Linked DNA regions of Drosophila melanogaster. Changing the gene in region 2 together with the main gene of any one other region gives a genetic interaction. Each region holds a gene or a part of one and is shown on either strand. Other genes may lie near its edges.

Evidence for each region. Genes that interact genetically often act in the same process or in processes that back each other up.
Region 1: of Phf7 (region 2) and Reepl1, changing one suppresses a phenotype caused by changing the other (phenotypic suppression), as found in Drosophila melanogaster (one study listed by BioGRID).

Annotation. Positions count from the first base shown.
Region 1 is NC_004354.4:11,570,875-11,574,195, reverse strand, and holds Reepl1 (receptor accessory protein like 1), read right to left. Parts: upstream 1,490-3,321; 5' UTR 1,395-1,489; coding exon 672-1,394; 3' UTR 556-671; downstream 1-555. Other genes in the region: CG11696 (uncharacterized protein), read right to left, coding at 1-143, 213-338; Kmn1 (kinetochore Mis12-Ndc80 network component 1), read left to right, coding at 1,798-2,005, 2,064-2,407; CG11699 (uncharacterized protein), read right to left, coding at 2,896-3,027, 3,088-3,321.
Region 2 is NC_004354.4:20,159,840-20,167,494, forward strand, and holds Phf7 (PHD finger protein 7), read right to left. Parts: upstream 5,992-7,655; 5' UTR 5,818-5,991; intron 3,003-5,817; 5' UTR 2,798-3,002; coding exon 2,696-2,797; intron 2,604-2,695; coding exon 2,101-2,603; intron 2,037-2,100; coding exon 1,079-2,036; 3' UTR 516-1,078; downstream 1-515. Other genes in the region: CG9577 (uncharacterized protein), read left to right, coding at 6,926-6,977, 7,118-7,280, 7,352-7,655.

The DNA.
Region 1 (3,321 bases), 8.6 Mb from region 2:
TCCGGCAATTCAGTTTTCAGCTGCAAGGAGCGGTGCAGCGACCGCTGCTTCTCCGCTACCATGGAACAGAATTGCTCGATCTCGGCCAGCTGCCGCCAGCAGCGGTTGCACAGGCACGTGGACACCACGTCGTTTTCCGCCAACTGAAAGCGAACAATTCAATCATTAGAAAAAAACATCTTTTTGGGGTAGAAAAGTCCAAATCCACTCACCACCAGCAGCAGATGTCGCTCGATCAGCTCGGCCAGCTGGCGATGTGCCGGTTGTCCCATTGGCGGTTCCTGGCCGAAAATGGGCACCCCGTGCTCAGCATCCTCCAGGCAGAGTCGGCATATCATCTCATAAAAGGAAGGACACAAATCCCGAGTCGAATCGCGTTAAATGCAGCTGTTTTTGATTCGTTGCTGAGTTTTGTTATGTGAGCGTTACCGGACCGCGAAAAGAGACCTCCGCGACTGATTGTGCAAACACAAGAAAATAGGCTAGAAAAAATAGCTAAGAAGATAACCAACACATTGGTTCAATATTTTGTGACTAAAATTAATCAATTTAAATGCTTTTTTTGTATAAACTTTATTGCGGTAAGGTTAGTTTATTTCTGAGATGTATGCTTTTTGAAAGCTCTGAACTTTGACAACTTCCGCCTGACATATTGAGGATATCAATTGATGTCACATAAACTGCGACGAAAGATTCATTTCTTGCTGGTTGCTTGATGATGGCTGACGCATTGGCTTCGGCGGCGGTATTGGTCTCTCCTTGGGCTTGGAAATAGGCTCCTTAATAACCAATAAATCAGATTCGGATCCGTGCAGCAGATCCATATTTAAATCGATATTTTCTCCCAAAACCTCGTTGATGGTATCAGATAAGTTACCCATCTGTTTCCGCTTCTCTTCCAACTGCCTTTTGGCTATGGCATCGTTGACCAGATCCTCGATGCTGGGCGTTATTTGGAGGGCAGGACGATGACCGCTGGGCAGGAGATAGCGATCTGCCAAAACCATCAAATGGCTAAGAACGGAGCAAACTTGTTGCCACACCAATTCGCCCCATTCCAAGGTGATACGTCCCAGGACCTGGTCGAAGGATTCGTTACAGCTAAAGGATCGCAGGAACTCCTCGTAGATCACCTCACTGCCGCCGCCCACAGAGGGCAACATCCAGAACAGGAGAAGCACCTTGAACTCACTTAGCAATGGAATAAATGCCAGCAGACCCGCTGTGAAATAATCAAAGGCCACATAAACTCCATAGGCAATCCAGTAGATTAACCATCCGCGAAGATCATTGACGCTACAATTCTGACTTTTCAGGATCTTGTAGGACGCGAATGCTGGATAGAAACAGCCCACCAGAAGGGACAGTATGTGTATCACGATCGCATAAATCATTATTTGGAAATTTTGGATAATCTTAAAATTTTGGATTTTGAGAAAGTATATATATAGCTGTGTATTCGGTTCTCGATTTTGTTCATTTGGTTTGACTACTTGAACAAATACAATAAATTGAAATGTGATTCTAAACGCAAGGCCTGCTTAGCATTCATAAAATGACTTATGCCCTATAACCCTTTTCCCCTTTTTTAGTTCAGCTTTTTTTCAATGAGTATATATCTTTTTATTAATATTAAAAGTGCAATTTTTTATATCGTATATTTTAATTTGTATAAAAGGTTTTGGCTTGAAAAGAGCCAGAGCGAATTACGTTCAAAAGATGTGGCATCACTGGATCAGCGATGGGTGTTGGCAAGCGTTTACGGATTTAAAAACTGAAAACAAACGAAGCGACGCGATGGAGCCAGCCGAAAGTCCAGAAAAATTAATGAAATTCGTACGCCGCAGTGACGTACTGGAATACGTGGGCAACACGAGTGCCGTCGATCTATCGAGCGGTGATCTCTCCGACATCGATCTCAAGGACGTGCCGGCCCAACTGGAGGCCACTTTGAAACCGCGTCGCTATGAAGCAAGCACTTTGTTTAACATTGACCTGGACGATAGTAAGTGCAATCCTTGTGGTTAATTAAATTGCCATTTACTTAACGTACAGACTTTCAGTCTGGGATCCTAGCTGTCAGGAGGACGAGGTGCAGCAGTACAAGGAGCGCGCCCAGAAGGAGCAGCAAAAGTTCTTCGACTTTGTAATGCATGCGGCACTGGACACGGACAATCGCAAGGTTAGCTTCAAGCCAAACAAGGAGCAGCAGCGTTACCTAGATCAGGGACCCAATTTGCAAAACTTCGTGCGAAGCTCGTTGGCTTTCACAAACGCGGCCATCCGATTTCAGGCGGAGCACGAGGACATGATGGAGCTGCAGTGCAATATGGACGATCACTACCTATTCATGCGGAACACCATGATCAACAACGCTATACACCAGAATATGGCCAACCAACGGTGACCCTAAGCTATGCATAAATATACATATGTGAATTGTAGATATTGATAAATTAAATTAAGACTCAGAGATTGTAAGACGGTTTGCTTTTGGCTTATACAGTATAATTCGCTTAGCTGCCTCGAGTACTTTGCACAATGCCTCGATGCAGGTAACTTAAAAATGCAGCTAACTTAATTTTTTTTTTTCTATTTTCTATTTTCTATTCACACAAAAAAATGGAAAAATAATGCAGATATCTTGCCGATGCAGCTAACTATCGATGCAGCTAAGCGAATTATACTGTATTTATTTCTACCCTAATATGTAACTCCCTAAGTTGCACTTCTGATGATGGCTGCCTTTAAGTCTGACCGAAAGAAATGAAAACCGATCAAACGTCTTGAAAACATTGTCTGTATGTAAACTGAAGTTAACAAAGGTTTCGTTTTATGTTCTGGTCTACTCAGGCGTTAGGTCTACTTTAAATTGTGTGTATATTTGTGAGCTGCTTATTCCTTGTTCCAGGCTGCCAGGTATTTCATGAGGTCCGTGAGACTCTCGAAATCGGTGCGGCTGGCTGGTGGTTCGTCCTTGGTGATTCTTGGCAGTGCATTGCCCATCTTGAGGCGGAACTCCTGGAACTGCGAACGAAACGAAAGATTTAAAGCGAAATTCATTGAACAAATCGGAGGCATGCTCACATCCTTGGCTCCGGATAGCTTCCAGAAGCCGTAGCAGAAGGCGCCGGTGCCCATCACGGCGTACAGTGTGCCCCAGCCCAGCGCCCGCAGGGCCAGGGTGGCGCCCTCGTCCATCAGGATCATGCCTTGCCGCGTTCCAGCCTGCTGGAGGACCTTGCTATCCGTCTTCTTGGCGGTGGCCAGCGTGCGCGAGAAGCCGAACAGAGCGGACACCCCGCCCACCAAACCCAGAAA
Region 2 (7,655 bases):
CCCACACTAGAGACGGAACCAAATGCGATGTTTATGCTATCGATAGTTTAGGATAGATAGTACCCCACAAACATCGATTCATTTAGCCGGAGCATAAAGTCGAATTTTTCTGTAACTAAATATGCAATGTGCCCACTCAAAAAATTAAATTAGTTTAATAAATTAATACTGGCAATTTTTTTTAATATCAATATGTATCGATATATTTAGAGAACATTATCGCAAGTGTTGCCGTTTAGCGGGTTGCTAACGTTGCCACCTGTGCATAAACTTTTGGCCATATCCAGCACTTATTTATTATGAATGGCGCGATTTTTAAAAAATCTTCAAATAATCACTTATAAAGCCCATATTATATTAATACCAAAAAAAAAACTAAATATTATATACTTTCATACCGATTTGTAGCGGGTATTAACTAGAAGCAAAACGCTATACTCTTAATGAAAGTGAGTATTCGTAGTTTACAACTTTTGAGAAGTTTTTTCAACATCCAAATAAAATCATTCTAACTTATTTTTCAAATATTTTAATTTTATTTATTTCATTTTAGCGTTCAGATACTGGGATTCTTGATACAGATACTGGATTCAGGGATTCTTAGATCGCTAGTCAAAAAAATGTAATGCTTAGAGTAATTGAAATAATGTAGGCACTGCGAGCTGCTGAAAAGAAAGTCAGATGGGGAAAATAATGTCTACAGCTACTTAAAGTAAATATGTATACAAGTTATTTATACGTGTGGAAAGGAGCACTTACTTAGCTTACTTAACAAAGCAAATAAATGGTAAATGCATCTTATTAGCGAATACCGCTAGGAGAACAGGATTTTAATGGAATTTTATATGTACAAAAGGCGGAAAATAGAGAATAACGGGTGCGAACCAAACGCACGCATTTGGTCCACAACCTAGTCGATGTGATGGTTAATGGAATGTGCAAGTGTTATGTATCGTGATGTTGTCATCTGTTCTCCTAGTCCCTGCGGGTATCCTGCCCACTCAGGATATATCCATATTGATCTTGCCGTGTACATGGATTTGTGCGAGTGTGATCTATTGTAATGTCATCTGTTCTCCTAATCCTTGCGGCTGGCCATGTGGTTGGACAAGCGGTGGCGGGTCCTATTGGCCACACAGGATATATCCATGTTGGCGAGTGAGGAAGGCCTGTTGGCCAAAGTGCGGCGACGTAAGACACGTGGAGCAGGAGTGCTCGGCTCCGGCGAGATGGAGCCCAACAGACGCCTGCCATTCGACGGCGCAGCGGCAGTGGGCGTAAGTTGGCGCCTCTTCGACTCATATTCATCACTATCATATTCATCACTATCGTCATCGCTATCCGACACGTGTCTAGGCGGCGAGACGTATCTAGGGCGCCAGGGACGACGTCCATTCGATGTGGACGGCTCAGTGTTTTCTTGGTTATCAAGTGTCGATGCGGATGTGGATGTGGATGTGGATGTGGATGATGTCGCAGTTGCAGTAGCAGAGCGAAACGAGGTTACTACACTTGAGAGAAATGTTGTTTGCGTTCCCTGTGATTCAAATGTGCGAGTTCCACGATCGGCTAAAGCGCGTGCCCCCGCAGAAGTAGATGGTTGATCATCGGAGAGGGTCACCACGCGACTCTGCACTTTGGTATCGAACGCACGCTGAAAGACGGCATCATCGTCGGAGGAGCCGAAATCATCCCAATGGGAGGGTGATAGCTTCTCTTGAATCTGATCACCATTTAGGTGACCTGGACGTGGGGCTTCGGCCGAGTCGTCCATTGAGCCGGCGTCATCCGAGTCCGATTCGGCAACGGGCACTGCCTCCGGGCTGACGGCTGAGCAAACCTTGCAGACGTAGTTTTGGAGAGTCTTCAACGTGCAAAGGTAATGTGACGGATTGGCGCCACATGAGGTGCAGTACAGCAGCATGGCGGAAGTGTCGGCGCGACCAGAGACCGCAACGCACAACGCGGCCGTACAATTGACATCGCGGCGGTACTGCCCAGCAAAGGCGTCCGGCTCGGTCTCCCAGGAAGCGTCTCTGCGGAATACAAGTACTGGTTAGTTGGGCTTGTTTGCTCCAAATGTAGTAGGTTTTAACTTACTGGTCCAGCACCGCGATGCCCATATAAGCCACCCTGCGGAACACATCTGTGTTGTTGCACAGCGGGCACTTGAAGAAGTAGCCGGACGAGTTGGCGTAGCGCTGCAGGCACCTGCGGTGGAACCATCCATTGCGGCAGCACGGCGCGTATAGGCAGGTCACCACGCTGAAGCGCTCGCCCTTGGCAACCACGTCCTCCGCGCATAGGAGACATTCCTCGTCATTCTTGAACACCGGACGGTTTCGAGGCACCAGCACATGCTGATGGCAGAACGAGTTGTACGTGTCGCAGAACTGGTTCTGGGCCAGATTATCGACGCCGCACTTGGTATGGAAGGTGCGACGGCACCCCGACTTGCAGCACCAAATATTGGCGCCCAAGCGGCGGCAATAGCAACACTTAAGCAAACGGCAGCGGTTGACCTCCGCTTCGATGTCCTCCTTGAGGAAGTTCATGATGCTCAATTTCTTTTCGCCACGCTGGATGAGATTCGAGCTGAGGTACTGCAAGAGGAAGGGAGAACGAGGGGAGTGAGAAGGTCGGCTTGCGAAGGAGTCTCCTGGACGCGGAAGCCCACCCGAATACTCTTACTTACCAAGCAGTTGCGGTGCACCATCATGTTGCCCTCCACGTGCACAGTGCCGAAGATCAGCTCGTCCCGCTCGCCGCTGAGGCACAGCACGCAGATCTGCACCATGGATGCGTTTCCGGTGACCAATCCCTCAACTAAAACAGCAACAGCAGCCGAAAAAAACAAATCTCGCCGATTGAGAAGCGATTGACTGTTTTCGCGCGCAATGAACGTCGGTTTATCGGAGATAGCCCTGCAGCCAGAGATGCCAGATCGCCTCGAGTTGATTTGATTTTATTTGCGTTGGCACGAATTGCCTAAAACTGCTGTTCTGAAAAAATTTTAATTAAAATCTTAATATTTAACATGTCTAGTTTCTATATATATTTCTATATTTTCTTAAGCAACCCTGATGTTAAAAAGGGATATTTTCAAATTTTTGCCTTGGGAAGTCCAAAGAGAATTGACGTAGCTAAATAGGAACGAAATAAAAAAATCAAGCAACAACCTAAATAGAAAAATATAAATATAAAATCTTAATACTTGACTTTTCTAGTTTCTATATATAGTTTTATATTTTCCTAAGCAACCCTTAAATTAAAAAATAGATCTTTTTAATTTGTTGCCTTGGGAAGTCCAAAGAGAATTGCCGTAGCTAAATTGAAACGAAATTCAAAAGAAAAAATAAAAACAGCTCTTATTTACCCGTTACTCAGGTGGTGCGAGAGAAATGGCAATATTCAAATAGAAGAGCGAGTGCTGTAGAGCGCGCAGCGATTGAATGTTAATGGGCTTCTAAAAGTCTAATCTGAACACAATTTGCCAGTTAGCTTCTGTTGACAAGTGAAGCACATGTCCCTTAATACCAAGAAGTTGAGCATTTTGGCGGCAACAGTTTGAGATTCACACAAGCAAATCGGGAATTTTATTTAGCCAATGATGAAGAATATATATGCACATATAGTCTGTAGGGTTTATAGGGTTGGAGACGATTCTGTTTCTATAAATTCCCAACGATTGATTTATTTTAACTCTTAATGGGCTTCTAAAAGTCTAATCTGAACACAATTTGCCAGTTAGCTTCTGTTGACAAGTGAAGCACATGTCCCTTAATACCAAGAAGTTGAGCATTTTGGCGGCAACAGTTTGAGATTCACACAAAAGCAAGTCGGAAATTTTATTTAGCCAATGATGAAGAATATATATGCACATATAGTCTGTAGGGTTTATAGGGTTGGAGACGATTCTGTTTCTATAAATTCCCAACGATTGATTTATTTTAACTCTTAATGGGCTTCTAAAAGTCTAATCTGAACACAATTTGCCAGTTAGTTTCTGTTGACAAGTGAAGCACATGTCCCTTAATACCAAGAAGTTGAGCATTTTGGCGGCAACAGTTTGAGATTCACACAAACAAATCGGGAATTTTATTTAGCCAATGATGAAGAATATACAAATATGCACATATAGTCTGTAGGGTTTATAGGGTCGGAGACGATTCTGTTTCTATAAATTCCCAACGATTGATTTATTTTAACTCTTAATGGGCTTCTAAAAGTCTAATCTGAACACAATTTGCCAGTTAGCTTCTGTTGACAAGTGAAGCACATGTCCCTTAATACCAAGAAGTTGAGCATTTTGGCGGCAACAGTTTGAGATTCACACAAACAAATCGGAAATTTTATTTAGCCAATGATGAAGAATATACAAATATGCACATATAGTCTGTAGGGTTTATAGGGTCGGAGACGATTCTGTTTCTATAAATTCCCAACGATTGATTTTTTTTTAACTCTTAATGGGCTTCTAAAAGTCTAATCTGAACACAATTTGCCAGTTAGCTTCTGTTGACAAGTGAAGCACATGTCCCTTAATACCAAGAAGTTGAGCATTTTGGCGGCAACAGTTTGAGATTCACACAAACAAATCGGGAATTTTATTTAGCCAATGATGAAGAATATACAAATATGCACATATAGTCTGTAGGGTTTATAGGGTCGGAGACGATTCTGTTTCTATAAATTCCCAACGATTGATTTTTTTTTAACTCTTAATGGGCTTCTAAAAGTCTAATCTGAACACAATTTGCCAGTTAGCTTCTGTTGACAAGTGAAGCACATGTCCCTTAATACCAAGAAGTTGAGCATTTTGGCGGCAACAGTTTGAGATTCACACAAACAAATCGGGAATTTTATTTAGCCAATGATGAAGAATATACAAATATGCACATATAGTCTGTAGGGTTTATAGGGTCGGAGACGATTCTGTTTCTATAAATTCCCAACGATTGATTTATTTTAACTCTTAATGGGCTTCTAAAAGTCTAATCTGAACACAATTTGCCAGTTAGTTTCTGTTGACAAGTGAAGCACATGTCCCTTAATACCAAGAAGTTGAGCATTTTGGCGGCAACAGTTTGAGATTCACACAAACAAATCGGGAATTTTATTTAGCCAATGATGAAGAATATACAAATATGCACATATAGTCTGTAGGGTTTATAGGGTCGGAGACGATTCTGTTTCTATAAATTCCCATCGATTGATTTTTTTTAACTCTTAATGGGTTTCTAAGAGTCTAATCTGAACACAATTTGCCAGTTAGCTTCTGTTGACAAGTGAAGCACGTGTCCCTTAATACCAAGAAGTTGGCGGCAACAGTTTGAGATTCACACAAGCAAATCGGGAATATTATTAAGCAAATGATCAAGAATATATGTATAACATATATATATATATAGTTTGTAAGGTTTATGGGGTCGGAAACGCTTCTTTGATTTATATACATTCGGCTAGCATAACAAAAACATGGCGGGTTTCAGTTGAAGATTTTGTTTTGTGGCTGTCTCAAAAAACACGTGTGCCAATTCAATGTAAAGTCCTGCACAAATAATTAAACAGTTGGAAAAACGCTTAGGGGCAACCCTACTGCCAGAGTTGGCAAGCGTCAAACTCTCGGTTTTATTTCTGTTTCTACGAATTTCCTCGAAAATTGCCGTAACCTGGGGCAAATGCGAATTGAATGAAAGTTGCAGTCCTTTATTTTCAAAGTATGTGTATAGGGGTTCTAATTAATGCCTTTTCAAGTAGATATATGTATTTGTGTTACAATTCATTGCACAATGCTATTTCATTATGAAAACTTACCAAAAAGCGTTGAATTCCCGAACTTTTTATTTGTGCTAAATTTTTAAAAATAACACTATTCACTGCTTTAAGCTTTTGATTTGGTTAAATGGGTTTGGTGCGGAGTTATTTTTGAAAACTTGTTATATTTATTTTTTTATTCCGAAAATTTCTTCTCTGACCTGTGAGCTTCTGCTTCGAGACTATGCACCTTTATGATTTTCTGATTTTTAGATTGTGGCAAGCAGAACTCAAATTTTCGATAACTTTGAGAAGTGATGGAAGCTGGGACGATACATCGATAGATTCGAGAATAATATCTGTTCATGGCAATTTTATGTGCGTCTTGTTATGTGCGTCAAGTTAGCGTCGATGAGTTAGCGGCTATGTCGGAACGGAAGAAAATGGAACATGGCATCGTTTTTTATGTACTTATTAATTTTTTTTCGTATTTTGAGGTGAATTCCAGGCGGCATTTTTAAATGCTTTAAGCTCCTCCCACTGCATTTTTCCAGGATCATTACCTAATTCGGTTTAGGTAAGCAAGGCACAAGAAATGTCCCTTAAGATGGGCTAGCGTGCAATTAGGAACAGGCTCTGCGAGTGGAAATATTCTCCAAAGAATGGTGAACCTGATTTTTCGATTGCGCATTTTATATACTTTCTTGAGTCCTATAAACTTAAGTCGTACATATATAGTTGGATAATTCTTATCTGAACATTCTAGCATTTTTATTTTTTGGAATACTCCTCTAAACAACGAAAAAATAAATAATAATACACATTCGCATTGACGCGAATTTGATGCAAAACTTTTTAAGTTAGAATCCTCCAGCCGGGTGGCAGCAAAACACCGTATTGATATAGTAGCCGAACAAATTTCTGCCGCAACGACTTGATTTTACCTACAACCCATTTATTGCAACAACTGTGTCCTTATGCAGCCAGAAAAATCCATTGAAAATCTGCTAGTGAAATATATCCAGTAGCTTTGATAAGCCGAGAGCCCGCCTTATTTTGAATATTTCTGCCGGGTGGCAGCACTGCTACGTATCGTTAAGCAAACAAAACAAATTTAGCTGCCGCAACAAGTAGATTTGATTTGAAACCAGTGAAAAGAAGGTTTATTATGTCGCTCTCCCGCCTGAACACTCTGATGAAACTAACGCCCAAGCCCACGGGTAAGTATCGGGGACTTCGATAATCCGACATCCAGCCTTCTGCGTTCGAAATTTGGGTTCGGTTCAAAGTCCGAACACCGGTGATTGAACCTTTGTCTCTTCATCGTTTTAAAAGTCCAATCAATTGCACTTCCCGTCAGCCATCGGATCCCTTAAGATGCAGAGAAACCTTTCCGCCCTCCCGGAATCCGGACCCACCGGCTCTTTCAAGACGCTGGCCGTCAGTTCGCCCAAGCCGTTCGTCTTTCATGTGGAGCTCCATCGGCCCAGCAAGTTCAACGCCATAAGCAAGCAGATGTGGCTGTGGGTTATCCAATAGCTTCCCGTTTCCTGTTCCGCAGACTGCTAACCCAAACTGCGTTACCCATTTCCAGGGAGATCAAGGAGTGCTTCGACGGACTGGCCACTAATCCCGACTGCCGGGCTATCGTTTTGTCCGCCTCCGGAAAGCACTTCACCGCCGGCATCGACCTCAACGACATGATAAACGTGGGCCAAACGCTGGCCGAGACCGATGACTACGCCCGCAAGGGCGTCTCCATGGAGCGAATGATCAAGGTGTACCAGGACTCAATCAGCAGCCTGGAGCACTGCCCCAAGCCGGTCATCACGGCGGTGCACAAGGCGTGCATCGGCGCCGGCGTGGACCTGATTACCGCCGCCGACATTCGCTACTGC